Linked DNA regions of Macaca fascicularis. The protein of the gene in region 1 interacts with the protein of each later gene in a pairwise test. Links are inferred from orthologs where the notes say so. Each region holds a gene or a part of one and is shown in the gene's direction. Other genes may lie near its edges.

Region 1 (4,851 bases):
GCTGGGACTACAGGCGCTCGCCACCACGCCTGGCTTTTTTTTTTTTTTTGTATTTTTAGTTGAGATGGAGTTTCACCGTGTTAGCCAGGATGGTCTCGATCTCCTGACCTCGTGATCCGCCCGCGTCGGCCTCCCAAAGTGCTGGGATTACAGGCGTGAGCCATCGCACACTGCCATTATTATTATTTTTTAAGTTTCACTCATTGCCCAGGCTGGAGTGCAGTGGCGTGATACCCGCTCACTGCAACCTCCACCTTCCTAGGTTCAAGTGATTCTCCTGCCGCATCCTCCCGAGTAGCTGGGACTCCTCCCGAGTAGCTGGAACTACCACAGCTGATTTTTTGTATTTTAGTAGAGACGGGGTTTCACCATGTTGACCAGAATGGTCTCCATCTCCTGACCTCGTGATCCGCCCGCCAGTGATCTCGGCCTCCCAAAGCGCTGGGATTACAGGCGTGAGCCACCGCGCCCGGCCTAATTTTTGTAGTTTTAATAGAAACGGGGTTTCGCCCTGTTGAGGCTGGTCTCGAACTTGGGGGCTCAAGTGATCCACACGCCTGGGCCTCCTAAAGTGCTGGGATTACAGGAGTGAGCCACAGCGCCCCCGGCCGAAACTATTCTACTATTCTTAAAACTTTCTTTCGTTTCTTTCTTTTTTTTTTTGAGACGGAGGCTTGCTCTGTCGCCCAGGCTGGAGTGCAATGGCGCGATCTCGGCTCTCTGTAACTTCTACCTCCCAGGTTCAAGTGATTCTCCTGCCTCAGCCTCCCGAGTATCTGGGATTACAGGCGCGTGCTACCACGCCCGACTAATTTTTATGTTTTATTAGATGCGGGGGTGGGGTGGTTCACCATATTGGCCACGCTGGTCTCGAACTCCTGACCTCAGGTGATCCGAGGACCTCAGGTGATCCACCCGCCTTGGCCTCCCAGAGTGCTGGCATTACAGGCGTGAGCCACCGCGCCTGGCCAAAACTTTCATTGTATCACAATCTCTTCAAGGCAAGAGCTATGACTTAAATCTACTACAGCACAGTTACAGATTCTTAAAAGATAGGCGATGCATGCGCGCAGACAGTAAAGCTCAGCGCGTGCGCACCGAGCACCTTTTTCCTTGCGGCGACTTCTCTTCTTTTTTTTTTTGGAGCGTGCGCACCAAGAAAGACAAAGGTGGGGAAAGTGACCAAGCAGTCGTTCAGGCGCATGCCCATCCCTAACTTGTCCGAGCCCGGTGGGGCCAGCGGCGGCGGCGTGGGTGTGGCCTGAGCGCTGTGTGACTGTGCGGCCGCCGCCCAATCGGACTGAGCGAGCCCGGCCCCTCCCTCCCTCTGATTGGTTGGTTCTCAGGGTTGTGGGGCGCGGAAAGGAAGAGACGGGGCTGCTGGGCGGTGGGGCGGTGGAGAAAGAAGGCTAATTTTGTTCTGCGCAAGCGCGAGCAAGCGACCAGGAGGGGGCGTGAGAGAGTGAAAGGGAATGTGGAAGCCCCGATGCGCTGGCTAGCGCTAGCTGGGGCTCTAACCTTGACGCCTGCGCCGTGGCCCTCGGGGCCCCGCGCGCAGCGGGCGGGTGCCCGGTGCGCCTGCGCAGTAGGAGGCGGTGGCAGGGGGAGGTGGAGGCTGTGGAGCGGCAGCGGCAGCAGCGGGTCCCGGGACTGAGGCAGCAGCGGGGGCGGCGGCAGGCGGAAGCTGAGGTGACGAAGGCAGCGGCGGCGGCGGCCGTTTCCCTCACGGTGGCGGAGACCAAGGCGGCGGCGGCGGACGGGGAGCGGCCCGGCCCCGGCCCCCTGCTCGTTGGCTGTGGCAGGGCCGCCGTGGGGCCGGCCCGGCTCCCGCCCCCCGCGGCTCCCCCTCCGGCTCCTCCTCCGGGGAGACGCCGGGGGCCTGGCCCGGCCCGCACTCAGACTGCTGCTGCAGCCGCCGCCGGGGGAGTCGGAGGCGGTGGCGGCGCCATGGGCGGCCTGGCCTCTGGGGGGGATGTGGAGCCGGGACTGCCCGTCGAGGTGCGCGGCTCCAACGGGGCCTTCTACAAGGTGAGACGGCGCGCCGACTGGGGACGCCGGTCCTTAGCCCCCTCCCCCGGCCGGAGCAGGAACGCGTGGGGCGGGATCGAGCTTCTGGAGCTGAGTCCTGGCCCTTAGAATCTTAGACCCTTGCTCCCACCCGCAGCCTTCCCTGAGAGACCTCTTGGAGTGAACCTGTTCCTTTTATTTTTGAGCCCTTTAATGCACCTGCTTCTACCCCCATCTCAGGGAGAATGAACTTCAGGCCATTATTGTCCCTGGCTTGGCGCTCCCCGCTCCCCAGGAGAGACCCCTTTACCCAGCTTCTAATTGACTGTTTCCGTTGTCTGATGGAAGACATACCTTAGACCTTAATCACATCTTCCCCACGGTCCAGGCACATGGAGAATTGTCTTTCTTCTGCACGGTCCCCTTGGGAAGGCCCCCTCTGTCCCATATCGGATCCTTTCATCTTCCTCAGAGAGGCCTCTGCCTACTGACTCTGGAACACTCACCCCACTTTCAGCTTATATTCCGGTTCCCAAGCCAAGGAGAAATGGTCAGATCCATTTACGACGTTTGGCATCTTTGACCTCAGGAACCCTGGGTTGGATCAGTCAAGTTGCTTCTCAGCCAGCCATAAGGTGGCATCTTTCGCAAGTCTTTCACCCCACCACACCTTGATCTCAAGGCCCACTGGTCTACCATTCTACTCAGAATGGATTTGAGGTCTCACTTAGACCTCAGATACCTTCAGGTCATTCTTAGAGTTTCTTCGTCTTGAGGCATGTGAGCTTCATAGTCATGATCTCTAAAAGGATCTCTAAAAGGAAGCTCATGGGGTTCCCTTCTGTTTTTCTTAAGATTTCCACTTCTTGAAGACTCTTGGCCAACTATCCCAGTTCGGGAATCTGACAACCTTTTTTGGAAGAAGGGATCATCTTTCAAAGACCTTTCCTTATTTGACCTCCCCCTTTGCCCAGGATTTGGTTCCTTAGAACTCCTTATAATACCACCTTCCTTATCTGCTCTGAATCCATTTTCTAGGACATTTTTTTCCCATTTGGATTAAGCCAGAGAGAACCCTTTCTTGCCTCCCAAGAGTTTTTCTTCGACTGTTGCTATTCTGAACCTCTTTTGGATTTGATGCCTGGAATTGTCCCAGAGACTCTCCTGATTTCTGTCTCATTCTTTGATTTCACCTTGGGGAGCTGTAGAAGAGATACCTTCCCATGGCATTACTTGTTAAGAGTAGATCCCCCTTCCCCCTTTCCTTCTGTTCCCCTCAGGCCTTTCCCCCCCACAGTAGCCCTCTCTAGTTTCTCATGCCCTTGGAAGTGTCTTTCTTTGACTCCTTCCCTAAGTCATATTTTCTGTAACTGTAGAGGGTCTTGTAATTTCCCTTGGGTGGTTTCTGCCTCTACTTCAGTTGCTAAGTTCATTGTAGTCTTTTTTTTTTTTTTTGAGACGGAGTCTGGCTCTGTCACCCAGGCTGGAGTGCAGTGGCACGATCTGGGCTCACTGCAAGCTCCGCCTCCCAGGTTTACGCCATTGTCCTGTCTCAGCCTCCTGAGTAGCTGTGACTACAGGCACACACCACCACGCCCGGCTAGTTTTTTGTATTTTTAGTAGAGACGAGGTTTCACCGTGTTAGCCAGGATGGTCTTGATCTCCTGACCTTGTGATCCGCCCGCCTCAGCCTCCCAAAGTGCTGGGATTACAGGCGTGAGCCACCGCGCCATTGTAGTCATTTTTTACTTACTCTTCATACTTACCCATTTTTGCCTTACTTCCCTCATCAGATTTCTTTCTGTGCGGTGACTTTGGGTACCCATGTCTAACTTACTGTCTCAATTCAAGTTTTTGGCTTTTTCTCCTAATACTTCTGTATTCCTGTGTAATCCCCAGGGATCACCTAATTCCCTGTCTAGCTGAAGGAAGCTCCCTGCTGATCTCTTTTGTCATTTTCTGCATACTTGCCTAACTCTTGGGACTTTTTCTTCTAGCCTGCCTCCATAGCATTTCTGTTTTTTTTGGCAAAAGTCTCTAATTCCTTTCTGCTTTTGATAGAGCACATTTATCTCTCATATCCTTTTCCCCAAACTTGCACTACCTTTGTTGAAATACGCCTCCTAAAGTGGCCCTCCCTGTTTCCCTCGGTATCTTTTCCTTCATCTGGGTCCTTACCACCCCAAAATTCTGAGTTCCAAGAAAAGTCATTCTTAAGTTGAGTCCAAGATCAAGATATGATGTTTGCTTTGTTCTAGGAAGCACAGGAGCCCTGCACAGCTGGGAAAGATTGGTATCCAGTTCAAATGAACTGTATGAGATGGCTGGGAAGGGACACGTTTTCTGTTCTACATATAAGTGTCCAGCAGAAAGTCTCTCTGAATCTTTTCCCTTTCTCCTGTGCGCTGTGGGCAATGATAGACTTGAGTACATGGGGACCAGGATACTCTGATTCAGAGAGTAGAGTCTGGGGTTGAGCTGAAAGCCAGGTAATGTGGTAATGTGGATCTGGGCAGGTTAGCATTTTCTGCCCCGTTCCTGAGTTAAAAACCACAAATCCCTAAATTCAGGCTAATCTTCCACTCTCAGTACCCTATAGATACTTATCCGTTTTGACCTTGCTGCTGATTTAATATTCATGACTCAGCAAACTTGGGATGGGTCAGGGAGTATTTACACTGCTTCTGGAAATGTACATTGGGAAGGTCCCTTTCTCCTCTCTCAGAATTGGGCCCTGTTGTCAGTTTTCTTTTCTTTCTCTTCTTTTTTTTTTTTTTAAATTTGAGACAGGGTCTCCTTTTGTCATCCAGGCTGGAGTACAGTGGCATGATGTCATCTCACTGC
Region 2 (4,666 bases), on another chromosome or scaffold:
TCCTGCCTCAGCCTCCTGAGTAACTGGGAACAAATACATGCACTATCACACCCAGCTGATATTTTATTTTCAGTAGAGATGAGATCTCTCTCACTGTGTTGCCCGGTTTGTCTCAAACTTCTTGGCTCAAGTGATCTTCCCACCTTGGCCTCCCAAAGTGCAAATGAAAGCCACTGCAACTGGCCAGAAGCAGCCTTTGACATTGGGTCTACTGCTGCCCTCAGTTATGAGAGAAGTTTCAACCATCCTTTTCACATTTTTTTTTTTTTTTTTTTCTGCGAGAGTCTCACTCTGTTGTCTAGGCTAGAGTGCAGTGACATAATCTTGGCTCACTGTAACCTCCACCTCCCTGGTTCAAGTGATTCTCCTGCCTCCTCCTGCCAGAGTGGATGAATGGTTCTTCTTGACCATCTAATCACTGTCTACTAAGACTTTAAAACTCTGCATCAACATCACCTTCCAGGTTCTTCCTTCTCTCCCCTATGCGATGCCTGGCATTGAAAATTTCTGTCTATGACTTTATCATGGTATGTTACTGTTATTAAATATAGCTGGGGTTACAGGTGTGCGCCATCACACCCAGCTAATTTCTGTATTTTTAGTAGAGACAGGATTTTACCATGTTGGCCAGGCTGATCTTGAACTCCTGATCTCAGGTGATCCGCCTGCCTCCACCTCCCAAAGTTCAGGTATGAGCCACCACGCCTGGCCCTTTTTCACATTTTTTTATACATGGATAAATAAGATAGAGATTAGAATTCTTATGTGCTAGGTGTATTTTCCCTTTGATAGTTTTACAAAATATTCTAGGTGTAGAATGTTTGGAACAGACTTCTTTCGTGTTTTCTGATCCTAGGGTTCCTGGGTTTTTGAGAACTTGTTTGTCTTGAAGTTTCCTTTAAGCCATGTACTCCTTGCATGCTTGTCTGTGCCCCTGCCTTCCAGGTACTGTGGGCATATGGGGGTTCCTTCTATTGAGTTTTCAGTTTTATTTTTTGAAAGAGAATGCAAAATAGATTGGGTCCTATGCCACCTTGTCAGTGATATGGTTGTGCATATTGTTGATATCAGTTAAAGGGCAATCACAGGAGCGTATCTATATATATATATATTTGCATAACAAGGCCGTAAGTTAAAGAATTCACCAAACAAAGGCCGTAGGTTCACGAGTGAGACTGTTTTAATTGAACTGGTATTTGTACAAGGTGACACCCTGTTGCATACCACAGACCTCCTCCCTGAGTGACTCAGCCGCTGAGAAAGAAACCTCTGAACTGTTCATTAATACAGTCAGGTAGAGGTTGAGACTCCACTGAATAAACTCTAGGTTCCCATTTCTTTCAGTCAGATCCTCCCAGGGAATCACTACAGGCCGGTTAGCCAAAAAGTCCTGGTTTTCTGCTCAATAGAGGTAAGTTGAATTATACTTGCAAACAGAAATACATCTGCTGTATGTGCACAGCTTTCTCTGTGTTCCTTTCAAATGATTAAAATTAGAACTTACAGTATTATCTTTGTCTTTTCTTCCTATAAATTTTGACAGCCTCCAGCTGACTGTTAGCTCTGCTCTTCCTTGCTGTACTTTTAGGCCACATTGCATTGAACTTCTTGGCAACTTTACACATTACGGGCATCACAGAAATGAGCACCTATTTGATTTTCTGGGTGGGAGCTGTCAGCTGGTGAATCCTGCCACACAAAGGATAATAAATTATTTAAGCGAAGGGACCAGCACCTGCTGGTTTATTTTCTCAAGTGACTATACAAACATTTTTTAAAGGAACTTTCTGTTTTCATAAATGATGCTTTTAGTGAAATAGTGAACTCAAATATTGCTTTATAGTTAATAAGTCATATTTTTTCTCTACTGCTAAAAATATTGCAAGTTGTTGAGCTATGAGAGAGAGAGGTTTATTTTTATGAGGTTTTTGTCTCCACCCTATCTTCCCCAAATAAGAAAATTGCCATTTCTTACTTGAAAGTACCAAGGAGTAAAGGCAGGGTGTGGGGGCAGAATAGGGGTATATATGATCTGTGGGCATCTGGCCAACTTCTCTACAGTATATTCTGCATTCTAACCTAAGGAGTGATTAATATATATGGGGGCAATTTTCAAACTTTATTCATAGCCTAGTCCTGAAAAACCAGTTTTGGGAGACTTTTGGTAAGGATAGAAGAGTTCTTTTGTAATTAATAGTTAAGCTGACTTGTCTGGTTTGTGTTTTTTTTTTTTTTTTAATCATTTCTATTTATGATACAGAGCTGTGGAATTCAAATGCAGGGGCCACTCACAGCTTGCAAATTGCAGGTCTGTGTCCTCCAGAGAGGCGCCCCCACAGCATACTTGGCTCTATCTTTAGTACTTGAGTTCTCATGGCTTCCTATTGCTGACCAGGTCACCTGCAGTCTGAGAGGGGTTTAGGCACACCAGTGCTCAGTGCTCATTTCCCAGAGGTTTACCGAAGAATTTTATAACTTGGCTTTCAAGTGTTTATAGTAACCAGAAAACTAAAGCATAGCATGTGTGGGTAATTTTATTTTTCATAAAATGTGATTACATTTAAAACTGTCTTTCACTTCCACAGTTTATAACGTAGATATAGCCTTCCTAATATTTGCGGTGCTCCAGTGTTTAAAGTATCAGAAACATCAATTTGAGAAAACTGAGAAATGACAACAGTAAAAATTTTAGTAAAACATTCAGATGATCCTAAATGTTGGGATATGCAGAGAATGCCAACAACAGGTCAGAATTTTTATTGGAATGTTAGCTTCGTGTAAATCTTAGATCTAATTGACTGAATATTTCAACTGAAATGGAGCATAGGCCCATCTAGTCTAATGCCTGAATTTTCTAGATGAGAAAAACAAAGCATAAATGTTAAGTAACTTGTGAAGATCAGAGTAGCAGAACCAGAACATGAAGCCAAATTGCTTGTCTTTTGTCTTACTGAATTTTCTCAATATTTTTTTCAAATACTTTTTATTATAAAATATGTAGTAGCAATAAACGAACCACACTCCATCACAGACTGTGGTTATCCAGCAATATGTGGAAATATTATACTGTGTATGGTGTGACTAAGACATAATGGAAGACATAGACATATGTTTCCAACTTGTGGCTTGTGGAATCAGTGTTGCCATTTATTATATTTATGAGATTTTCATCTCAGGATCCAGTAGCCCCTCAGCAGGGAGGGGATCTGATGTATGTGTGTTAGCTGTGGTCTGTACAATCAGAACACCCTCGCCCCGAATGCCATTCTGTAGGTGATGCTTACCTGACTGCCTTCTCAGACTACCAGAATTATGATGAAATACCTGAGAGGTTCATATTCCTGGGGACTATGTAAACAAAACAAAGAATATGTTTTGAATGACTGAGCTCATACTGTGGAATGAACTAAGCAGTCAACTTAAGCAAACATTGTTTAACTGAGAGCATCCTATATGGTTCAGGCATCAACTCCCACCATTTCTTAAGAGTGAGGGGATCAAATCTTTGGCCCTGCAGTCCAAGGGAAATCTTTATTGGTTTCACTTGGCTTCACTTTCTGTCATTATCCTGCTTCTAGACCATTTGTTGATCATTTTCCATTTGCTCTGGCTAGGGACTTTGAAATAAAGATTTTTATATATTAATTGCTGCATACATAGCTGGAGTTGTTCCAAGTTCACTTCTGAATCAAAAGTCATTTTTGTTGTTGCTTTTTTTTTTTTTTGAGATGGAGTCTCGCTCTTTTTGCCAGCCTGGAGTGCAATGGCACGATCTTGGCTCACTGCAGCCTCCGCCTCCCATGTTCAAGTGATTCTCCTGCCTTAGCTTCTCGAGTAGCTGGGACTACACGTGTGCACCTGACTAATTTTTGTATTTTTAGTAGAGACGGGGTTTCACCATATTGGCCAGGCTGGTCTCGAACTCCTGACCTCAGGTGATATACACGCCTCGGCCTCCCAAAGTGCTGGGATTACAGGCATAACCAATGCACCTGGCCTTAATCAAAAGTCTTTATCAGTTATATTCCTTAAGTGTTTCCAGCTTACCACTGTACAAATGGTAAACTGTGATTTTTCCACGAACTTGTGATTTTGGGGCTTGGGAGAAGCTCTTCCTTACATGGATGCTTTGCCAAATGACAGCTACATTTACTAGACTTTCATTTCATGTTGATTACTAAATTTTTTAAGGATATGAGTCATCTTTTTATTGTAATACTTAACTGGAAGAGTGAATTTTATAGCTATCTATTAAATGACAACTGGTTTGCTTCTAGATACAAGAACTGATCGTCCTGAATCCTCATTGTAATAGTATAATTGAGAGCTCTAAAAATCTAAATAATTTATTCTTTGTCTGTAGACCCAAGTTTCCCTGACTCTAAAATGTGATTACGTATCCTTCATATGAAACCTCCTGGGGAAAGACAGTGAACTATAAGCCATGTTTTTCAAATTGAGATATATACATCCCAGGAGACTGTGTCAATATTCTAGAAAATGCAATACAATTATGAAATAAGCATGGCACATGTCTGTATGGGGAGCTAATTTTTGTTAAAAAACTTTGGAGAAAACTATCCCTACTGCCCTGCCCTCTCGCCAGTTCTCCCCAGGGTTCCCTCTTTTGTAATTAGAAATGCTGTGTGTAAAAGTTTAAAAGAAA
Region 3 (3,963 bases), on another chromosome or scaffold:
GTATTGTTAGGTTTCATTCATTCAACAAGCATTATAAAAGTGCAAGTGTTTGACTACAAAAAAAGTGGGATGGGGAAGGTCTGTCTAGGTACTGGGAACTTGAAGAAGGAAGGTACTGGCAGCTCCGGGCCAGCTTGTTTAGAAACAGGGAAGGAGCATCCTAAATAATCCTGGTGATGTGGCTCAGGAGACTTGTTTAGAAACAAGGAAGGACCATCATAAATAATCTTGACGATGTGGCTCAGGAGGCTTTAGCCCTTCCAGGTGACTCTCCTCTCCTCAGTGGTGTAACAAGGTAGACATAGTGACAATCCCTGGTGTAGAACCACCAGAAGTACTTGCTAACATGCAGATTTCTGGGCCCTAGGTGCTTGAAAGTCGCCCAGTGATTCTGACTCATGCACAGTAACATTTGGTAACCACAGGTTTAAGTTTTGGCTTTGCCACTGATAGCACATGATTTGCTTAGCCTCTGAGCCTGTATTTCCCCATATGCAAAATGAAGACAATACCTACCTTGTAATGTTGCTGTGAGGATTAAAAAAATGTACACACAGTACCTTACTCAAGATCTGGACAGAGTTGTACTGAATACATATTTGTTGAAGGTATGAATGAATGATGGATGAATAATTAAGAGAACATTCGACTCACAGAATTTTTCTGTCTTTAACCACAGCCTGGCACACAGAAAATACCCTGGGCAACCGCAACAAACACAACTAAACCTTTCCTGAGATTCGGAAACTTTTTCCTAAAGTTTCAAGGAATTGTAAATGAGAAAAAAGAGTTTTAGAGAAGATGAGACATAAGCGCTGGGTAATTAATAGGTGCCCAACACAAACTTCCTGATCTGTAGAGCCTTCTATGTGAGTTGAACAGTTCTACCTGTTCAGTTAGAACAGCAGGTAGCAATATTTGATTCTAAAAGCTAGCAATATTCTCAAGGTAATTTCATCTTCTCTTGGGTCACTTACATTTCTTTTTGTGGAAATATTAAGAACATAATTATCTTCATTACTGCCTGTCCCTACATCAGCTGTTGGGAATCCATTCTGCCTATGCTGAGATTATAAGAATCTATGAAAGATATGTCTCTTGAGCATTCATTTTAATGTTCACACTCATTAAAACAATTGTGAATTTTTTAGTAAAGGGATCTAGTCACTTTATATTATGCAACATGCACATTTAGAAAATCACTCCAAGTTGAGGTTCTCTTCTCAAAGTTTTACTGGCATGATTACAGAATAATGCCTGAGTAGCCTCCATGGTTTCAAACGGAAGAAAATTATTTTTGAAGCCCTGGTTTCTTAAAATGCTAACAGTAGGACCAACCGCAAGGGTATTTTGAGGGGGGGGGGGCGGGAATGTGTTTTGATAGCAGTAAACAATAGCTTACAGTAAATTAACTTTCAGAACTCTGTACTTTTGAAGGCCCTAGCAACAGAGCACCTATCAGAGCCGAAGGCAGAAACTTCCCCTTGCCACTTCCAAACAAACCTCGGCCCCCATCCCCCGCGGAAGAAGAGGTAAGAAAGTATATGTTTTTATTTTTGTTTGTTTGCTTTTTCCCTGGTAAAAGAATCACCAGAAACTCCCACTGAATGTTCTTCTATACTTTTATCTTCCGTTTGTTTTATTTTATTTATTCGAAAAAAAGTTAAAGGAGAAGATCCAGATGAACAATATGTTCTTTTTCCTTGGCATTCTTTCAGACTCTTTCAATGGCAAACGTGTGTTTTGCATTAAATGGCAAGAAAAATAATCCTGTTTTTTATGTTTATGACCTTGATTCATCACTTAACTGCTCGATAAACCAGTTTTTTTATCAAGCAGGTTATTATGCTAAACTGAAGAAATTACTGTATCTGCATCTTTCCTGATTAGAGGTTCCATACTGTAAGGAACACTTATTCACAGGTATTTTTGCAACCAGCGTCATGATAAAAAGCAGTTCACACAAAATGTCTTCTATTTAGCCTCAGCTAAATGACTCTGAATGCAAATTAAGAAAACAAATGTTTCAAACCTCCTGGAATTGAGGTGGTGATTTATGGAAATGATTACTCAGAAGCTTTTCTTTTCACTTACATCTGTAACTGTAAAATTTATTCAGTTTCTAAAAATTTACATTTTCAGAATTCATTAAATGAAGAGTGGTACGTTTCTTATATTACCCGACCAGAGGCAGAAGCTGCTCTTAGAAAGATAAACCAGGTATTGTGCTATAGTTTATTTTAACATAGTTATAAATATTAATGGCAGAGAAGGGAACTGACTTGTCCTGAGTACCCATTACAGGCTAGTAATTCTGCTAAGTGCTGTTGCTAACTGTGATACCTAGGAGACCCATTAGTGCCAGCTTCACAACTATCAGCACCCATAGCAGGGATTCCTAGGCTCGGGAATCATTAGGCTGGCAGAAGAATCTCAAGGCAGTCATTTGGCTGGCAGAATCTTAGGAGATTTGATTAATGAAAGAGTTTGTCTTGTCATACGAATCACACGGTGTCAGAAGGAGGCTCTCCTTCCCCCAAAGTTCCAACATGGTACCAGTTCTATCTTCCTCTTAACACAGATGTGCCATCCTTGTTGATGTGAAAGGACCGATATTAAAGAGACGGCAGCAACTTTTTGCTTTTTGCCCTAGACGTTTCTAGCTAGTCCTTTAATACATAAAGTCTTGAACATATCTCCCGTAGCCAGTGCCGACACTTTACCTTAAATTTATTTATCGGAAATGGGAAAGCAAAACTCTTTCATCTTTCACATCTAAACTCCACACCAGTAGTTCTCAGTAGTAGCTGCACATTTAAATCACCTGGAGAACTTTTGAAAAATCCCGATTCCTGAGTCTCGCCTTAAGATTCTAATTATTCTGGGGTGCTGTGTCAGCTCTGGAGTCTTCAAAACTTCCCAGGTAATTCTGATTTGAAGCCAAGACTGTGAATCACTGATCCAGAAGTATGTTTGTTTAGCAGAGATGTTCTGACAGGCTCAATTAACTTGCAATAAAACGAACAAAGGAAAGCCATTATTGCCAACTCATGGCTATTTAAAGCTATCCTGATTTGGTATGAGGAGAAGGGAGTAGTTTAAAGGAGTCCTTTCCAATTAATTCTATCTTAATATTAGATCTTTATAGCATTAATATTATGTAGCAATAATTTATTGAATGGAAATTTAAAGTACAGGACAATCAAAACAGTAGTTTAGCAAATATCAGAAAAAAAGAAAAGAAAAGAGAACATCTGCATTCAATTTTGTTCAAGTGTCTGATGAAGGAAAGACTATCTAGGGATCACAAGGTTTTAAGAAGGGTGAATTTCACGGCATTTGGGTCTTTTCTGACTTTGGATGTGGAAGAGAAAGGTTAGGGAATTAACTCACAGGAATAGTAGGAAGATATATCTTGAGTTAACCAATAAAGTTTTTTATTTCTCCTGGCCTTTTATCCACTCAACCACCCATTATTTATTAGGGAACAAAAGATTCCATTTTTATAAGAGACTTTAACGAGATTGACTCGGAAATTTCTCTGATACAATCTCTGTTGCCTTTCTTAACAACAAAATAACTCATGACACATGGGATCTGTAGCTGTGTGGAGAACTGAATGTTCGTTGAATGACGGGTTTTGCACTCAAGAAGCTGCAAAGTGCAACTGACATGTTTGTCAGATCCCTGGAGGCTGGTCTACTATTCTTGCAAGCAACAAAAATATTGACTTTTACTCTCCCATAATAACAGGAATTTATCTTTTTAGGATGGCACATTTCTGGTTAGAGACAGCTCTAAAAAAACAATAACCAATCCATATGTCCTCATGGTGTTGTACAAAGATAAAGTTTACAACATCCAGATCCGTTATCAGAAGGAAAGTCAAGTTTACTTGTTGGGAACTGGACTCCGAGGGAAAGAGGTAAGGATTTCAAATTTCAACATTTTCCCAAAGTCTTT
Region 4 (4,217 bases), on another chromosome or scaffold:
TGGGGAAAATCATGTATGCTGACTACACAGGGCAGTAGTGGGATGGGGTGATCCATTTAAAATAGGGTGGTCTAGGCCAGGTGTGATAGTTCATGCCTTGCAATCCCAGCACTTTGGGAGGCTGAGGTGGGCGGATCACTTGAGGTCAGGAGTTTGAGACCAGCCTGGCCAACATGGTAAAACCCCGTCTCCATTAAAAATACAAAAAAAATTAGCCAGGCGTCGTGGCAGACACCTGTGATCCCAGCTACTCAGGACACTGAGGCAGGAGAATCGCTTGAACCCAGGAGGCGGAGGTTGCAGTGAGTTGAGATTTCGCCACTGCACTCCAACCTGGGGACAGAGTGAGACTCCGTCTTAAAAAAAAAAAAAAAAAAGAAAAGAAAAAAGAAAGAAAAATAGGGTGATCTAGGCCTGGCACGGTGGCTCACACCTGTAATCCCAGTACTTTGGGAGGCCGAGGCGGGCGGTCACCTGAGGTCAGGAGTTTGAGACAAGCCTGGCCAACATGGTGAAACCCTGTCTCTAGTAAAAATACAAAAATTAGCCAGGCGTGGTGGCGGGTGCCTGTAATCCCAGATACTCAGAGGGTTGAGGCATGAGAATCATTTGAACCTGGGAAGTGGAGATTGCAGTGAGCCAAGATCACGGATTGCACTCCAGTCTGGGTGACAGAGCAAGACTCCATCTCAAAAAAGTAAAAATAAACAAATAAAATAGGGTGGCCTCAGACGGCCTCTCTAATAAGGAAATATGAGAACAGAGACTGGGAGGAGGAAGAGGAGAGAACCAGGTAGTGCAGGGACATGTCCTGGGTCAGGGACAGGGCAGAGGCCCCGAGGTCAGAGGGAAGTGTTCAGGGTGCAGGGAGGAGGAGGTGGCTAGGTGGGGAGGCTGGTTCGCCCAGGCCTTTATGAGGCATTTAGCTTGAACTACAGGGACATGAGGAAGCATTGCCGGGTTTTGAGCAGAGAGACACAAACAGACTCAGGGCTCAACAGGCTTCTCCCTCCCGCTGCCATGGGGGGAACTGACCAGGGAGGGGGGTAGGCAGTGACTGGGGAAGGGCTTGTTAGAATAATCCAGGCAGTTGGTTGGGGGAGGGCAGACGCTGCCTCCCACTACCTCCTGGGGTGACAACGGTGAAGGCAGTGAGAAGTGGTTGGATTCCGGATGTGTTTTGAAATTAGCACAGAAGGGACAACAAGGCCTGGGCGTGGCGGCTCAAGCCTGTAATCCCAGCTACTCGGGAGGCTGGGGGATCATTGGAGCCCAGGAGTTGGAGGCTGCAGTGAGCTGTGATTACACCACTGCACTCCAGCCTGGGCAATGGAATGAGACTGGAGACATGCAGTGTGGGGGTGAAAGAACGAGGGGGTCAAGGAGGCTGGGGGGTTGGGGTACCACCCATGCGGGGAGGGCTGTGGGACTGGAGGCTGCAGGAGGGATGTCAGCAGTTCCACTCCTGCTAGAGGAGGTTGGGTGTGGAATCAGCACTAAATGGAGAAGTAGGGAGGGGTGTGGGTTCCAGGATCCTAGGATCAATGGGGGCTCCTCAGAAAGAGAGCCGAGGGCTGATGGGGCCTGGGTGCAGGGGTGGTGGTTGTGGGCTGTGCCTGAGGGTCCCCAGTCCCTTCCTTCCATGCCCCTTCTGTGTGTCTGAGCCCCTGCCTCATTGGCTGTATGTCTCCTAGGAGAGCCATCAGGACTTCCGGAGCATCAAAGCAAAATTCCAGGCCTCTCAGCCGGAGCCCAGCGACCTGCCCAAAAAACCCCCGAAGCCTGAGTTCAGTAAACTCAAGAAGTTCCCACAGCCTGAGCTAAGCGAGCACCTCAAGAAACCCCCGCCGCCTGAGTTCACTGACCTCCCCAAGAAGCCTCCGCCGCCTGAGGTCACTGATCTTCCCAAGAAACCCCCGCCGCCTGAGTTCACTGACCTCCCCAAGAAGCCTCCGCCGCCTGAGTTCACTGACCTCCCCAAGAAGCCTCCGCCGCCTGAGTTCACTGACCTCCCCAAGAAGCCTCCGCCGCCTGAGTTCACTGACCTCCCCAAGAAGCCTCCGCCGCCTGAGTTCACTGACCTCCCCAAGAAGCCTCCGCCGCCTGAGTTCACTGACCTCCCCAAGAAGCCGTCCAAACTGGAGTTCAGTGACGTCTCCAAGAAGTTCCCCCAGCTGGAGGCCACTCCATTTCCAAGGAAGCCCCCGCAGCCTGAGGTCGGTGAGGCCCCTGTGAAGGCCTCGCTGCCGGAGCCCAATACGCCTGTCCGGAAACCCCAGCAGTCCGACGAGCTCAGTCACCCCGCCAGACCCCCATCTGAACCCAAATCCAGTGCATTCCCCAGGAAGCTCTGGCAGCCCGAGGCCAGTGAGGCTACCCCAAAGCCCCCGCAGCCTGAGTTCAGTACCTTTCCCAAGAAGCCCGCGCAGCCTGAGGTCAACATGCACCCCAAAAAGCCCCCACAGCCTCAGGTCGGTAGCCTCCCTAAGACGTCCCTGCCGAAGCCTGAGTCCAGTGACGTCCCTCAGACACCGCCCTGGAAGCCTGAGGCCACTGAGTCCCTCCCCCACTCCCCGAAGCCCAACTTCAGTAGCGTTCCCAAGAAGCCGGTGCAGCCCGAGTTCAGTGTGCACCCCAGAAAGCCCCCGCAGCCTCAGGCGGATGGCCTCCCTAAGAAGTCCGTGCCGCAGCCTGAGTTCAGCGAGGCGGCTCAGACTCCTCTCTGGAAGCCTCAGTCCGGTGAGCCGAAGCACGACTCCAGCGCCTTTCCCAGAAAAGCCTCCCAGCCTCCGCTGAGTGACTTTCCCAAGAAGCCTCCGCAGCCGGAGCTTGGGGACCTCACCAGGACCTCCTCAGAGCCCGAAGTCAGCGTGCTTCCCAAGAGGCCGCGGCCCGCCGAATTCAAAGCGCTCTCCAAGAAGCCCCCGCAGCCCGAGCTGGGCGGCCTCCCCAGGACCTCGTCAGAGCCCGAGTTCAACTCCCTCCCCAGGAAGTTGCTGCAGCCGGACCGCCGGGGGCCACCCCGCAAGTTCTCACAGCCTGAACCCAACGCTGTCCTCAAGAGACACCCGCAGCCTGAGTTCTTCGGTGATCTCCCTCGAAAGCCTCTACTCCCCAGCTCCGCTTCCGAGAGCTCACTGCCTGCGGCCGTGGCCGGCTCCAGCTCCCGGCACCCGCTCAGCCCTGGGTTTGGAGTTGCTGGGACACGGCGCTGGAGGTCAGGAGGCCTTGTTCACAGTGGAGGGGCCAGGCCAGGCCTCAGACCCAGCCATCCACCCCGGCGGAGGCCTCTGCCCGCTGCCAGCAGCCTGGGACCCCCTCCAGCCAAGCCTCCGCTGCCCCCGGGCCCCGTGGATATGCAGAGCTTTCGGAGACGCTCTGCAGCATCCACAGGTGGGTGAGGGCGGGCGGCACCGGCAGGAGGCGGGGCTGAGATCCCAGGCAGTACCGGCCTCCCTGCCGCACTCTCTACCCCACAGATCTACGGAGGACCCGCTCGGCCGCTGCGCTCCACTTCCAGCCCCGACAGCCTGAAGACATCCCGCCGTGAGTGTGGGGAGGAAGCTGGGGTGGGTGCAGATTGTGGGGCTCAAAGGGGCCTCATCTCGGCGGGAAGCAGTGACTCACGCCTGTAATCCCAGCACTTTGGGAGGCCGAGGCAGGCTGATCACCTAAGGTCAGAGGTCAAGACCAGCCTGGGCTACATGGTGAAACCCCGTCTCTACTAAAAATACAAAATTAGCTGGGCGTGCTGGCGCATGCCTGTAATCCCAGCTGCTCGGGAGGCTGAGGCAGGAGAATTGCTTGAACCTGGGAGGCAGAGGTTGCAGTGAGCCAAGATCATGCCATTGCATTCCAGCCTGGGCAGCAAGAGCAAAACTCCATCTCAGAAGAAAAAAAAAAAATTAGCTAGGCGTGGTGGGGGGCACCTGTAATCCCACCTACTCGGGAGGCTGAGGCAGGAGAATCGCTTGAACCCGGGAGGCGGAGGCTGCTGTGAGCCAAGATCACGCCCCTGCACTCCAGCCTGGGTGACAGAGCAAAACTCCATCTCAAAAAAAAAAAAAAAAAAAAAGAGGCCTCATCTCAGGTATCCCCGCAGGATCCCAGATGAGATCTACGAGCTGTATGACGACGTGGAACCCAGAGATGACTCCAGCCCCAGCCCCAAGGGCAGAGGTTTGTTGGTGGCCTGCCCGAGTCCCTGCAAAACATTC
Region 5 (4,041 bases), about 48 Mb from region 1:
TGTATTGCTAGATGTCATTTACTTTTGGGTGATTTGCAGATACCTTTGGGAATCACACGGTCATCACGCTGGGCTTTTATCCTCTGAGTAAACGTGAAGCATCCCTGGGTAATGGCCTGGTTTAGTTTGCTGCTCATCAAATGCCAAGACTTGCTCCCTGGTGTCCTTCTAACATTTTATTTGGGGTTTGCTCTGGGAATGGAAATTTATTGTATTGTTGATTTTCCTGCCTAAAATGAGATGGTTGAGGGCCAGGCATGGTGGGTCACGTCTGTAAGCCCAGCACGTTGGGAGGCCGAGGCTGGAGGATCACTTGAGTCCAGGAGTTTGAGACCAGCCTGGGCAACATAGTGAGACCTTATCTCTACAAATAATTTTTTAAAATTAGCCAGGTATGGCTGGGCGTGGTGGCTTACGCCTGTAGTCCCAGCATTTTGGGAGGCCGAGGCAGGCAGATCACCTGAGGTCAGGAGTTTGAGACCAGCCTGGCCAACAACCCTGTTTCTACTAAAAATACAAAAATTGGCTGGGCATGGTGGGCGGGCATCTGTAATCCCAGCTACTTGGGAGGCTGAGGCAGGAGAATCACTTGAACCTGGGAGGTGGAGGTTGCAGTAATCAGGATCGCGCCACTGCACTCGAGCCTGGATGACAGAGGGAGACTCTGTCTCAAAATAAATAAATAAATTTTAAAAATTAGCCAAGTCTGGTAGTGTGTGTCTACAGTCCTACCTATTTGGGAGTCTGAGGCAGGAGGAACACTTGAGCCCAGGAGTTTGAGGTTTTTAAAAATGAGATAGCTGAATTTAATTTTAATGTTCTGTGGTTTTATTATCAGTCAATGCCAATAGGGAGACAATTGATATAAAATTGGAGAAGTACTTTTAGTCCTGTCACTGCTCCCTTCCAGTGTGGAGAGTGAATTGGGTTATAACAGAATCAGTGAGCCCAACCACTCATGTTTTACATAGCAGGGTGGATGAGGGGAATTTACATGGATTGTATGTTCTTAGATGGTTTGGGGCCATTCTCATTCTCCGTCCTGTTGAATAGGCCTCTGAAGACCTTCTCAAGGAACACTACATTGACCTGAAGGACCGTCCGTTCTTTGCTGGCCTGGTGAAATACATGCACTCAGGGCCGGTAGTTGCCATGGTGAGTGTGCCTGTGTGAGATACTCCAAGTATGCATTGCTTGTCGTCTGCGCTAGGCTCTCTTCTAGACACTGGGGATACAGTCATGAGTGAGACCAAATAGATATCTATTTTCATATATCAGCTAATGGTTAGTGATAGGCCCAGAAATGAATAGGAGTAGCAAGTGATCACTTTAGAATGGATGATCAAAGAATGCAAATTTTAAGCTGTGATCTGAATGACAAGAAGCAGCCAGCTATGTACAGAATCACAGTGAAAAACATTTCCAGCCAAGCAAACAGCATGTGCAAAGGTCCCAGGGTGGGAATGAGCTTGGCTTTTTGAAGTATGGGAGGAGAATTGAAATGCCCGAAGCCTGATGGGTGGGAGAGAAGTTGGGATGTGAAGAGTTCAGAGGCATGGGCAGGGGCCTCCTCTCTTAGGGGTGTGTTGACCATGTAGTTCCTGAGTGCTGGGAAGCTATGGGACACTTCACACTTGGCCTTTTTTTTTTTTTTTTGAGATGGAGTCTCGCTTTGTCACCCAGGCTGGAGTGCAGTGGCACAATCTCGGCTCACTGCAAGCTCCGCCTCCTGGGTTCACGCCATTCTCCTGCCTCAGACTCCTGAGTAGCTGGGACTACAGGTGCCCACCACCACGCCCGGCTAATTTTTTTGTATTTGTAGTAGAGACGGGGTTTCACTGTGTTAGCCAGGATGGTCATGATTTCCTGATCTCGTGATCCACCCGCCTCAGCCTCCCAAAGTGTTGGGATTACAAGTGTGAGCCACCGCGCCCTGCCCACACTTGGCATTTTAAGGAGGCTGCTCTGGTTGCTGAATGGAGAGTACATTGTAGAAAGGCAAGCATCAGGGCAGGGAGACCAGGATCCCTAGTGCTGGAATAAGTGGATACTCTAAATATTTGTTCAGTGAATGAATGTCATCTTAAGGGGCCTTTTTATTTTTTCCTATTTTTGGATTAATAGTTGCCAGATTTTCTGCTGAGATGGGTTTTCTTCTTTGACCATATCTTCTTCTGTCCTTGGAGGTCTGGGAGGGGCTGAATGTGGTGAAGACAGGCCGAGTCATGCTCGGGGAGACCAACCCTGCGGACTCCAAGCCTGGGACCATCCGTGGCGACTTCTGCATACAAGTTGGCAGGTGAGATTTTGCTCTTTTTCCCCCTTTTCCAAAATCTGATTTAGTTGCCACAAGGATTTGGGTTTCTGAGGCTGGAGGTAGACATGATACCATATGCAGGTTGATTTTATCGGAGTTTATTGTTTTCCTCCCCCTTAAGTTGGTGTTTGGCTTTGGTTTTTAAAATCACTGTAGTTGTACCTCCGTTACACGAAGTGTAGAACCTGGTACAACACACTTTGCTGGCCACAGTCTTTCCTGAAGGCTCTTACTGTTTGCACCAGTGTGACCGGGAGGGCTGAATGTGGGGAGGGCATTTTTCACCCTTACATGAATGGCCATTGTAGGATTTTTCTTTTAACATGGTCTAATGTCCATGGAGCTTCAGCTTTTATGCTGCCGTGGCTGTAGATTTCTGGCAATGGGCGCATTTTAATCCTTCTGGTCTTGGTCATGTGACTGTCTCTTTCTCCACCCAGGAACATTATACATGGCAGTGATTCCGTGGAGAGTGCAGAGAAGGAGATCAGCTTGTGGTTTCACCCTGAGGAACTGGTAGATTACATGAGCTGTGCTCAGAACTGGATCTATGAATGACAGGAGAGCAGGCTACAATGCTTTCACATCCATTTCTCCTCCTTCCCATGGGCAGAGGACCAGGCTCTAGGAAATCTAGTTATTTAAAGGAACTTCGTCATAATTTGGAAGGAAGCTCTTGGAGCTGTGAGTGCTCCCTGTACAGTGTTACCATCCCCTACCATCTGATTAAAATGCTTCCTCCCAACTTAGGATTCATTGAGTTGGTTACTTTGTATTGTTGTATTTTTTTTTCTTCTTTTCATGTACACTGAATAACCTGACCTAATAGAGAATGTAAATACTATAAAAATTATTTATATTGAGATCTCACATACACACAGGCATTCTTTGCCTGCCCTTCTTAACCCCTGCGTCCCTTCCACTCTTGGCACGGAGCTACTCAACAGGCATCTATGGAGCATCTGCTACATGGCCAAGACTGGACTAGGTGCAGAGGATTCATCAGAAATAATACATGAGGGCTGGGTGTGCTGGCTTGTGCTTGTGATACCAGCTACTTGGGAGGCTGAGGTGGGAGACTAGCCTGGGTAACAGAGCAAGACCCTGTCTCACTAAAAAAAAAAAAAAAAAAAAAAATTAGGCTGGGTACAATGACTCATGCCTTTAATTCCAGCTATTCAGGAGGCTGAGGGGAAGAATCGCTAGAGGCCAGTACAAGTCCAGCGTGGGCAACACAGCAAGACACTGACTTTACAAAAAAAAAGAAAAATTAGCTCTGGTGCTGTACACCTCTAGTTCTACCTATGGGGAAGGCATAATAGGCAGGAGGATTGTGCCCGGGAGTTCAAGGCTGCAGTGAACCATGATCATGCTACTGTACTTCAGCCTGGGTGACAGAGTGAGACCAGTCTCTTAAATAAAAACATATCCATCCTGTTCTTGAGAAGCTCTTGGGGATTCAGTGAATGGGGGAGTGTGGGAAGTTGTAATTCCTCCGAAAATCAGAAAAGCTAGGTAGACAGTAGGCCTGGGTCCCTGGGATGGCCTCAAATGAAGCAGGAGGTCTTGTAAGTAGCTTTGATTTGTTAGGATATTGATTTGGTTGCTTTAATGGAGACAAGATAGAAATGTACTTCTCTTTCATTTGAAAGTTCAAGTGTGGTCGGGTGCGGTGGCTCATGCCTATAATCCCAGCACTTTGGGAGGCCAAGGCAGGAGGATTG
Region 6 (2,988 bases), on another chromosome or scaffold:
ACGCCCGAGTCCCACAGGCCCCTCCTCCAGGCCCGTTTCCCTCTCTACATTGCTAAGAAGATGCTCGTGCAGTTTCCTCTCCTGTAAATTACACGCTGCCTCCCACCCCTGCCCAGTTCCTTAGCTTGGTAACAAACTTCCTCAGCCTTTGAGGTGTTACTAAATGGCACAGTTTTTGTAATGCCTGCCTCAGCCCCATAGCCAGAACCAACCAGACCCTCGCTGGGGCTTCGGTGGGAATCTGACCTACTGGGAGATGGTGAGACGCTGTCTCCGTTTTTCCATTTTCTGTGTCTCCATTTTTCCATTTTCCATTTATTGGGAACAGGATTCGAATCCATTTTTTAGCACAGCCCCAAGTACACACCTTGTAGGTGCTTGGTGAATGGATGTGGGATCAAAGAAACTCAGGGACACAAAGAAAACTCTGTCTTATTTGCTAATTCTTGCTGGTCTTAACGTGCAGGATAATTCAGCCCCCTATGGAGCCCGGTACGTGGGCTCCATGGTGGCCGATGTTCACCGCACTCTGGTCTACGGAGGGATATTTCTGTACCCTGCTAACAAGAAGAGCCCCAGCGGAAAGGTAAGGGTGTCCTTTGGAGGGGGAGTGAGGAGCAGATTGCACTTGCAGCCCACACGATTTGGTTTAGGAAGAAGAGAGTTTTGCGAGCTGTTACGCTCCATGCTACGTTGCTACGTGTGTCTGTGGCATATTCTTTTGCGGATTAAAGGTAAAGCCGGATGATATCAACTAAAGATAAAAATAGTCTCTTGAGAGCCCTTCCAGTGCTATGGCAAAAGAGAATGAATCTCTTTTGAGATCAGACGAGAATGAATCCTCATCCTGATGAGGACTGAAGGGCTTCCGGTAGATACATGGCTTGGCTCAGGCAAAGTGAATTCCATTCATAAAGTGAAATGAAAAAACCCAGCCTCACTTCCAAGGCAGTGGATCAAATATGTATCCTCAGCAGAAGGTGTAAAAGGTGTGAAACAGGTCACTAGTGAGTCAGCATCCGCTACGGGGAAAATGATACCTTTTAGGGAAACAATCTCTGGGGAAGCCTAGAGCTTCCCGGTGAGCCGTCACCACCGACTCACTAGTCCAAGCCCACGGCGTTCCCAGCAGGCTGCAGGGTGGCTGTGCTCCCCGTGCGCACTCAGAGCCTCCCTGCTTTCCTTGTGCTCCCCGTGCTCACTCAGAGCCTCCCTGCTTTCCTTGTGCTCTCCGTGCTCACTCAGAGCCTCCCTGCTTTCCTTCTGCTCCCTGTGCTCACTCAGAGCCTCCCTGCTTTCCTTGTGCTCTCCGTGCTCACTCAGAGCCTCCTGCTTTCCTTGTGCTCCCCGTGCTCACTCAGAGCCTCCTGCTTTCCTTGTGCTCCCCGTGCGCACTCAGAGCCTCCCTGCTTTCCTTGTGCTCTCCGTGCTCACTCAGAGCCTCCTGCTTTCCTTGTGCTCCCCGTGCACACTCAGAGCCTCCCTGCTTTCCTTGTGCTCCCCGTGCTCACTCAGAGCCTCCTGCTTTCCTTGTGCTCCCCGTGCGCACTCAGAGCCTCCCTGCTTTCCTTGTGCTCTCCGTGCTCACTCAGAGCCTCCTGCTTTCCTTGTGCTCCCCGTGCACACTCAGAGCCTCCCTGCTTTCCTTGTGCTCCCCGTGCTCACTCAGAGCCTCCTGCTTTCCTTGTGCTCCCCGTGCTCACTCAGAGTCGCCTGCTTTCCTTGTGCTCCCCGTGCTCACTCAGAGCCTCCCTGCTTTCCTTGTGCTCCCCGTGCGCACTCAGAGCCTCCCTGCTTTCCTTGTGCTCTCCGTGCTCACTCAGAGCCTCCCTGCTTTCCTTGTGCTCCCCGTGCGCACTCAGAGCCTCCCTGCTTTCCTTGTGCTCCCCGTGCTCACTCAGAGCCTCCCTGCTTTCCTTCTGCTCCCTGTGCTCACTCAGAGCCTCCCTGCTTTCCTTGTGCTCCCCGTGCTCACTCAGAGCCTCCTGCTTTCCTCGTGCTCCCCGTGCGCACTCAGAGCCTCCTGCTTTCCTTGTGCTCTCTGTGCTCACTCAGAGCCTCCCTGCTTTCCTTGTGCTCTCCGTGCTCACTCAGAGCCTCCTGCTTTCCTCGTGCTCCCCGTGTGCACTCAGAGCCTCCTGCTTTCCTTGTGCTCTCTGTGCTCACTCAGAGCCTCCTGCTTTCCTCGTGCTCCCCGTGCGCACTCAGAGCCTCCTGCTTTCCTTGTGCTCTCCGTGCTCACTCAGAGCCTCCTGCTTTCCTTGTGCTCTCCGTGCTCACTCAGAGCCTCCTGCTTTCCTTGTGCTCCCCGTGCGCACTCAGAGCCTCCTGCTTTCCTTGTGCTCCCCGTGCGCACTCAGAGCCTCCTGCTTTCCTTGTGCTCCCCGTGCGCACTCAGAGCCTCCTGCTTTCCTTGTGCTCCCCGTGCTCACTCAGAGCCTCCTGCTTTCCTTGTGCTCCCCGTGCGCACTCAGAGCCTCCTGCTTTCCTTGTGCTCCCCGTGCGCACTCAGAGCCTCCTGCTTTCCTTGTGCTCCCCGTGCGCACTCAGAGCCTCCTGCTTTCCTTGTGCTCCCCGTGCGCACTCAGAGCCTCCTGCTTTCCTTGTGCTCTCTGTGCTCACTCAGAGCCTCCTGCTTTCCTTGTGCTCTCCGTGCTCACTCAGAGCCGCCCTGCTTTCCTTGTGCTCCCCGTGCTCACTCAGAGCTGCCCTGCTTTCCTTCTGCCAGGGTGACAGTGCACTTCCTTCCCAAGTATTGTGTCCTTCCTATGTTTTCCCAGTGGACAGATGGCTTTTTAGACAGAGGCTTACTCGTCACCCAGGCTGGAGTACAGTGGCATGATCTCGGTCCACTGCAACTCGCCTCCTGGGTTCAAGTGATTGTCCTGCCTCAGTGTTCTGAGTAGCTGAGATTACAGGTGCCTGCCACCATGCCCGACTAATTTTTATATTTTTAGTAGAGATGGGGTTTCACCATGTTGGCCAGGC
Region 7 (4,714 bases), on another chromosome or scaffold:
CTGCTTCACAATAAACTCTCATTTTATAGCTATTAGCCTGACAAAAAATAAAAAGCTGGCTAACAGGAAGTGTGAGTATGTATGTGTAAGGTGCATATGGAAATAGTACCCCCTCACACTGTGCGGGCGAGAATGAGGACTGGTGTCCCCATTCTGGACATCATCTGGAACTATTTTGAGATACACACCCATGCGGGAAATTGCTGGATTCATAGGGTATGAATATACTTAAGAAACTGCCCACAGCCCCGGGAGCTATTAGAGATGTTCACTACAGCAGCATTGTTGTTTAACTCTGTGTGTGTATGTGTGTGTGTGCCCACATACTCACGGGTTTGGGAGGTGGTGGTAGCAGCAGAAAGTTGGAGGGAACCTAAGTATCCATCACTGATAGAACAAGAAACCACGGCAGACTCTCATTACAAAATACTAGGCCGCAGTTAAAAGCTACAGATTGAATATACATATAGCGACATGGGTAGATCTTAATTTTCCACTAAATACTCTGTTTTGTAAGAAACAGACTGAGAAATGTAATATATTTACATAATACCATTTACATAAATTTAAAAATACATATAGACGAAACAACACCACACATTTTGCAAGAACATGTGCAAACAAAAATACACATTAACACATTAGAGAGGCTGCTATGGGCCGTGGCGGCGGGCGGGGGGGAATAAAAATGGAGTACAAGAATAAAAGGTAACAGAAAAAATGTAAAATGTGAGAGGACTTTTCTAACCTGACTCTAAGACTTATTATAAAGCTATAATAATCAAGACAAGGTAGCGTCCTGTCATGATGGACAAACAGATCAATGGAACAGAAGAAAGGGCTCAGAAATAAACCCACACATATATAATCAATTGATGTTTTACAAAGGTGCGAAGACAATTCAGTGGAGAAAGGAATAACTGAATCTCCATGTGCAAAAGTGAATCTGGATCTATAACTTGAAGCATACAAAAATATTTACTCAACGTGGATCACAGACTAAATGTAAAACCCAAAGCTCTAAAACATAGGAGAAAACTTTTGTGATCTCGTGTTAGGCCAAGATTTCTATGCGTACAACATCAAAATAGAAATCTATCAAAGAAGCATTTGATAAATTGGATTTCATCAAAATTAAGAACGTTTGCTCTTTGAAAGGCAGCGTAAGATAATTCAAAGAAAATATTTGAAAAGCACTGCCTGATCATGTCCTTATATCCAGAAAAAAAACACCCTCAAAACTCGGTAAGAAAACAAACAACCCAATTTCTTTTTTAATGGGCAGGAAATTCAAACATGCTATTCACCAAAAAAGACTTATCCTTAGCAAATAAGTACATGAAAAGATATTCAATATCATTAGTCATCAAGGAAACTTGATATGTTCATAATCTTGATCTCAGTGTCGGTCTCACGAGGGAAACATTAAAATTCATCAAATTGTACACGTTGAATATGTGCAACTTATTGCATGTCAATTCTATCCAAATAAAAGATTTTTATAAAGAAATAAATAGGTATTCTGGCGCCCAGGGCCACCCAGCTGTAAGCGGCGGGCTGGGATTCCAACCCTGAAGTGGGCATTTGGAGCCCTCATGCTTCACCCTAGCTCCCTGAAACAAGCTCGGAGGATTGGCTCTGAGCAGCGAGGAAAGTGCTGGAAGGAAGCAGGCCGAGCGCGTCCCTGGCTGGGGACGTTAATCATTACCGGAGGGCGGTCCGAGCGCGGCCCCGCCCCGGGACGGCCGCCTGCGCGCCCGGCCGCCGCCTGCCCTCTCCGCCGGCCACCTGCTGCCGCCCGCGCCATGGTGAGTCCAGGGGTGCGCCGCCGCGATCGGGGCAGCGGGGCCGGGGCAGCAGCGGGCGAGGTGGGAGCGGGACGGGGCGGGGGAGGGTCTTTTCGAGCCTCCTGCGGAGCCGCCGGGGTCCGAGAGTGGGGTCTCTGCCCGGGTCCCTGTCGCCGGCGGCGGGGAGGGGAAGCTGAGGCCCTGAGAGGGGCATGGCGGGTCCCGGTCCCAGCCAGTTGGGAGGCCAGGCCTGCCCTGACCCAGGCCAGTGCTTGTTCCCGGACCCTGCTGGGGGCGGGGCCTACGACCTTACAGGGCCGGGGAGGACCGTGGTGGGAGAGTCCGCAGATCTCGTCCCCTTAGTGGCCCGATTCGGCTTTATACTGGGGTGGGAGCGAGAGGCAGGCTGAGTTTGCGCGCTCCTGTGCGTACCCGTCCGCGCCCCTTCCCGCTCGCACTCTGGACACAGGGTCTGTCCGCCTGGGACTCATGCTCTGAGCCCGTGTGCAGTCCCGGGCTCCAGAGCCAGCCCCCGCGCCGGTTTGAGGCCCGTGCCCGGCCGCGGGGGCTTGGTGGCGCAGGAGCAGCCCTCCTCCCGGGCTAGCTTCCCCCACCTACCCCCGGGGCGGGGGCGGGCCCCTTGCTCTGATGTAAGCTCGGGAGCTTCATCAGACCGTTTCTGGCCCACAGGCCTTCGGAGCAGGCAAGACTGGGAGGGCCTTTTGATGGGAGAGGGACTTGGGGGAGGGAGGATGAGTGGGGCTGTTTGTGAGGGGCGCTGAGGCCCCCAGAGATGCAGGCTTGGGAAATCGGCGACCACTCCCCACACCTCGCCAGAGGAGGCAAGACCTGGCGGGGATTTACTAAGCAAACAGGGCACCGTCCCCCTCTCCAGAGCCGGCACCTGGAAGATTTGTCAGTTCAGCCCCAGGCTCTGCGACTTGGGGGGTTCCAGAAGGCTCTACCGAGAAAGGGAAGCCTCCTAAGAGCTCACCTGGACTCACCCACCCCTTTAAGAGCCAAGGAAGTAAACAGTGGGCTCTGATGCTTTGGCTGACTTCTGGTTGTCTGGATACACGGACCAGGCAGTCAGCCACGGGGAGAGGGCCAGCTCTGGAGTAGAGACCTCCCTACTGGGCAGATGATGCAAATCGCTGCTGCCATTCAATCCCTGTAGCCATCTAGAGCCGAGGAGAGGAGAGGGGCCAAGCTCCCTCAGTCCGGAGAGAGCTCACGTTTTCAGGAGGGAAACAGGAGGGAAAAAAGACGGACTTAGGAAAGCACTGCGATGCTTCAGCTACCACAAATGCTACCAGGCCCATCACAAGCCTACTTGCCTTAGGAGGTATTTTTTTGTAATGCAGATGACATTTGCTTTATAGCAGTGGAGTTTCCTAAAGTGTCCCATTGGCACCTCATGATGATCTGTGGAGGTAGAGGTTCTGCCAAGAGAGGTACAGCCACCTGGCTGGTAAATGGTGAAAGCGGGGCTCAAACTTCCTGCCAATCAACACATGGTGTTCAGTCTGCAGGCTGCCTCATAAAAGCTAAATTAACCTCCCTCACATTCCCTCCTCACCCCTAAGTATTTCTTTTCAATTCAGCACTCTATTTCTGCCCTGGGGTGGTGCTACTCTAGAAGCCTAGGTTCTGGGATCCGTTAAGGTCCTAGACCTGGATCCTCCTAGGATGAAACTGACCCTTGCTTCCTTGCATTCTCTGAGGTTCCACTCATGGCCTGAATTGTGCCAATTTGGGCTGCGTTGAGGGCACTTTGCACATTAGGTAAATAGGACAGGGCACTACGTTTGCCAGCTGCCTTTGGCCAAGTTCCTTCCACTTTGGGGACTGAGTTCTGTGGCCTGAGCTTCCCAACCAGCCAGAAAAGCAGATGGAAAACCGGAGAACCTAGCCCTGGCGGCTCAGGACCAGAGGCTGCCTGGGAGCATGACTGAGGACCTACTAGAGGTAGTGCCAACACGGTCAGCTACAGTGTGGCTAAGAATGGGCTGGACACTTATTTTAAATGCAGCTCCTTTGTCCAGCCCCAGGGATGCTGACACACAGACAACACTGCGCCATCCCTGGCTAGGGGAGGGCAGGAAAGAACAGCAGACAAGTCGTTTCCCCTCTCTAGGCCTGTTTGCTCTTCAATACACATGAAAGTTACCGTAGGGACGTGGGGTGCATATGATAAAGTACATAATAGGAAAAGGAAGGGGGGACAGGCATGGTACTCTTCCTCAGAGGTTGTGGAGTAATATATTTGCATCTGGGATTTATTTTGCTTTTACGCCCTCACTGATGTAATAGATCTTATGGAGGGGAAGGTCTGTAAGGCTTTGAGGGCAGGGTAGGGGAAGAGTGTCTCTGTCCCCGTCATATGAATTGCATTGCTTTTGGGATTTCCTTTCTCTGTGTGGAGTGTAAAACCCAAGACCTGAGAGCCTATCAGCGGACAAGCCTGGACCCCACCTCCTGGGCAGAGTGCCACCCTTGAGGGCTTCCAGCTTATTGCTCAAAGACCTGCTGCCCTTGGTCACCCACGTCCAAAGCAGCCAGTGGAGGCTGGCTAAGTTCCCCTAAAGGCTGGAGCCCCTGTTTTGACCTATAAAAAGAAATGCTCTTGGGCCTCGTTTTTTCCCCTCTTCTAGGCTGGCAAAGCACACAGGCTGAGTGCTGAGGAGAGGGACCAGCTGCTGCCAAACCTGAGGGCCGTGGGGTGGAATGAGCTGGAAGGCCGCGATGCCATCTTCAAGCAGTTTCATTTCAAAGACTTCAACAGGGTATGGCACCAGGGCGGGACAGAGTTTTCTGAGACTGAGGCTGATGGGGTCACCTTACAAAGCATGTTCTGTCCCTTCACGTCTCGTTAGCCAAGACTCTGAGACCCCACACTCATCCAGTTATTTGGATAACTGTGCCGG

What was found.
Region 2: the proteins of FXR2 (region 1) and SCEL interact in binary tests that used the Homo sapiens proteins (3 or more experiments, as listed by UniProt). The two-hybrid records come from large-scale screens. The link is inferred for Macaca fascicularis from reciprocal best matches to the Homo sapiens genes FXR2 and SCEL.
Region 3: the proteins of FXR2 (region 1) and LCP2 interact in binary tests that used the Homo sapiens proteins (3 or more experiments, as listed by UniProt). The two-hybrid records come from large-scale screens. The link is inferred for Macaca fascicularis from reciprocal best matches to the Homo sapiens genes FXR2 and LCP2.
Region 4: the proteins of FXR2 (region 1) and PRAM1 interact in binary tests that used the Homo sapiens proteins (3 or more experiments, as listed by UniProt). The two-hybrid records come from large-scale screens. The link is inferred for Macaca fascicularis from reciprocal best matches to the Homo sapiens genes FXR2 and PRAM1.
Region 5: the proteins of FXR2 (region 1) and nucleoside diphosphate kinase A interact in binary tests that used the Homo sapiens proteins (3 or more experiments, as listed by UniProt). The link is inferred for Macaca fascicularis from reciprocal best matches to the Homo sapiens genes FXR2 and NME1.
Region 6: the proteins of FXR2 (region 1) and FBP1 interact in binary tests that used the Homo sapiens proteins (3 or more experiments, as listed by UniProt). The two-hybrid records come from large-scale screens. The link is inferred for Macaca fascicularis from reciprocal best matches to the Homo sapiens genes FXR2 and FBP1.
Region 7: the proteins of FXR2 (region 1) and PCBD1 interact in binary tests that used the Homo sapiens proteins (3 or more experiments, as listed by UniProt). The link is inferred for Macaca fascicularis from reciprocal best matches to the Homo sapiens genes FXR2 and PCBD1.

Annotation. Positions count from the first base shown.
Region 1 is NC_088390.1:7,663,945-7,668,795, reverse strand, and holds the start of FXR2 (RNA-binding protein FXR2), read left to right. Parts: upstream 1-1,582; 5' UTR 1,583-1,947; coding exon 1,948-2,028; intron 2,029-4,851. UniProt on the Homo sapiens protein: mRNA-binding protein that acts as a regulator of mRNAs translation and/or stability, and which is required for adult hippocampal neurogenesis. Specifically binds to AU-rich elements (AREs) in the 3'-UTR of target mRNAs.
Region 2 is NC_088391.1:68,554,813-68,559,478, forward strand, and holds the start of SCEL (sciellin), read left to right. Parts: upstream 1-1,292; 5' UTR 1,293-1,411; intron 1,412-4,666. UniProt on the Homo sapiens protein: May function in the assembly or regulation of proteins in the cornified envelope. The LIM domain may be involved in homotypic or heterotypic associations and may function to localize sciellin to the cornified envelope.
Region 3 is NC_088380.1:177,056,610-177,060,572, reverse strand, and holds part of LCP2 (lymphocyte cytosolic protein 2), read left to right. Parts: intron 1-1,437; coding exon 1,438-1,532; intron 1,533-2,142; coding exon 2,143-2,220; intron 2,221-3,769; coding exon 3,770-3,925; intron 3,926-3,963. UniProt on the Homo sapiens protein: Adapter protein primarily involved in signaling pathways within T-cells, as well as other immune cells such as platelets, mast cells, and natural killer (NK) cells.
Region 4 is NC_088393.1:9,191,174-9,195,390, reverse strand, and holds part of PRAM1 (PML-RARA-regulated adapter molecule 1), read left to right. Parts: intron 1-1,264; exon of another isoform or gene 1,265-1,334; coding exon of another isoform or gene 1,335-1,361; intron 1,362-1,694; coding exon 1,695-3,393; intron 3,394-3,479; coding exon 3,480-3,546; intron 3,547-4,102; coding exon 4,103-4,179; intron 4,180-4,217. UniProt on the Homo sapiens protein: May be involved in myeloid differentiation. May be involved in integrin signaling in neutrophils. Binds to PtdIns(4)P.
Region 5 is NC_088390.1:55,546,057-55,550,097, reverse strand, and holds the end of nucleoside diphosphate kinase A, read left to right. Parts: intron 1-1,053; coding exon 1,054-1,155; intron 1,156-2,186; coding exon 2,187-2,299; intron 2,300-2,757; coding exon 2,758-2,875; 3' UTR 2,876-3,066; downstream 3,067-4,041. UniProt on the Homo sapiens protein: Major role in the synthesis of nucleoside triphosphates other than ATP. The ATP gamma phosphate is transferred to the NDP beta phosphate via a ping-pong mechanism, using a phosphorylated active-site intermediate.
Region 6 is NC_088389.1:128,465,346-128,468,333, forward strand, and holds part of FBP1 (fructose-1,6-bisphosphatase 1), read left to right. Parts: intron 1-466; coding exon 467-586; intron 587-2,988. UniProt on the Homo sapiens protein: Catalyzes the hydrolysis of fructose 1,6-bisphosphate to fructose 6-phosphate in the presence of divalent cations, acting as a rate-limiting enzyme in gluconeogenesis. Plays a role in regulating glucose sensing and insulin secretion of pancreatic beta-cells.
Region 7 is NC_088383.1:75,543,841-75,548,554, forward strand, and holds the start of PCBD1 (pterin-4-alpha-carbinolamine dehydratase), read left to right. Parts: upstream 1-1,755; 5' UTR 1,756-1,805; coding exon 1,806-1,808; intron 1,809-2,241; exon of another isoform or gene 2,242-2,490; intron 2,491-4,441; coding exon 4,442-4,573; intron 4,574-4,714. UniProt on the Homo sapiens protein: Involved in tetrahydrobiopterin biosynthesis. Seems to both prevent the formation of 7-pterins and accelerate the formation of quinonoid-BH2. Coactivator for HNF1A-dependent transcription.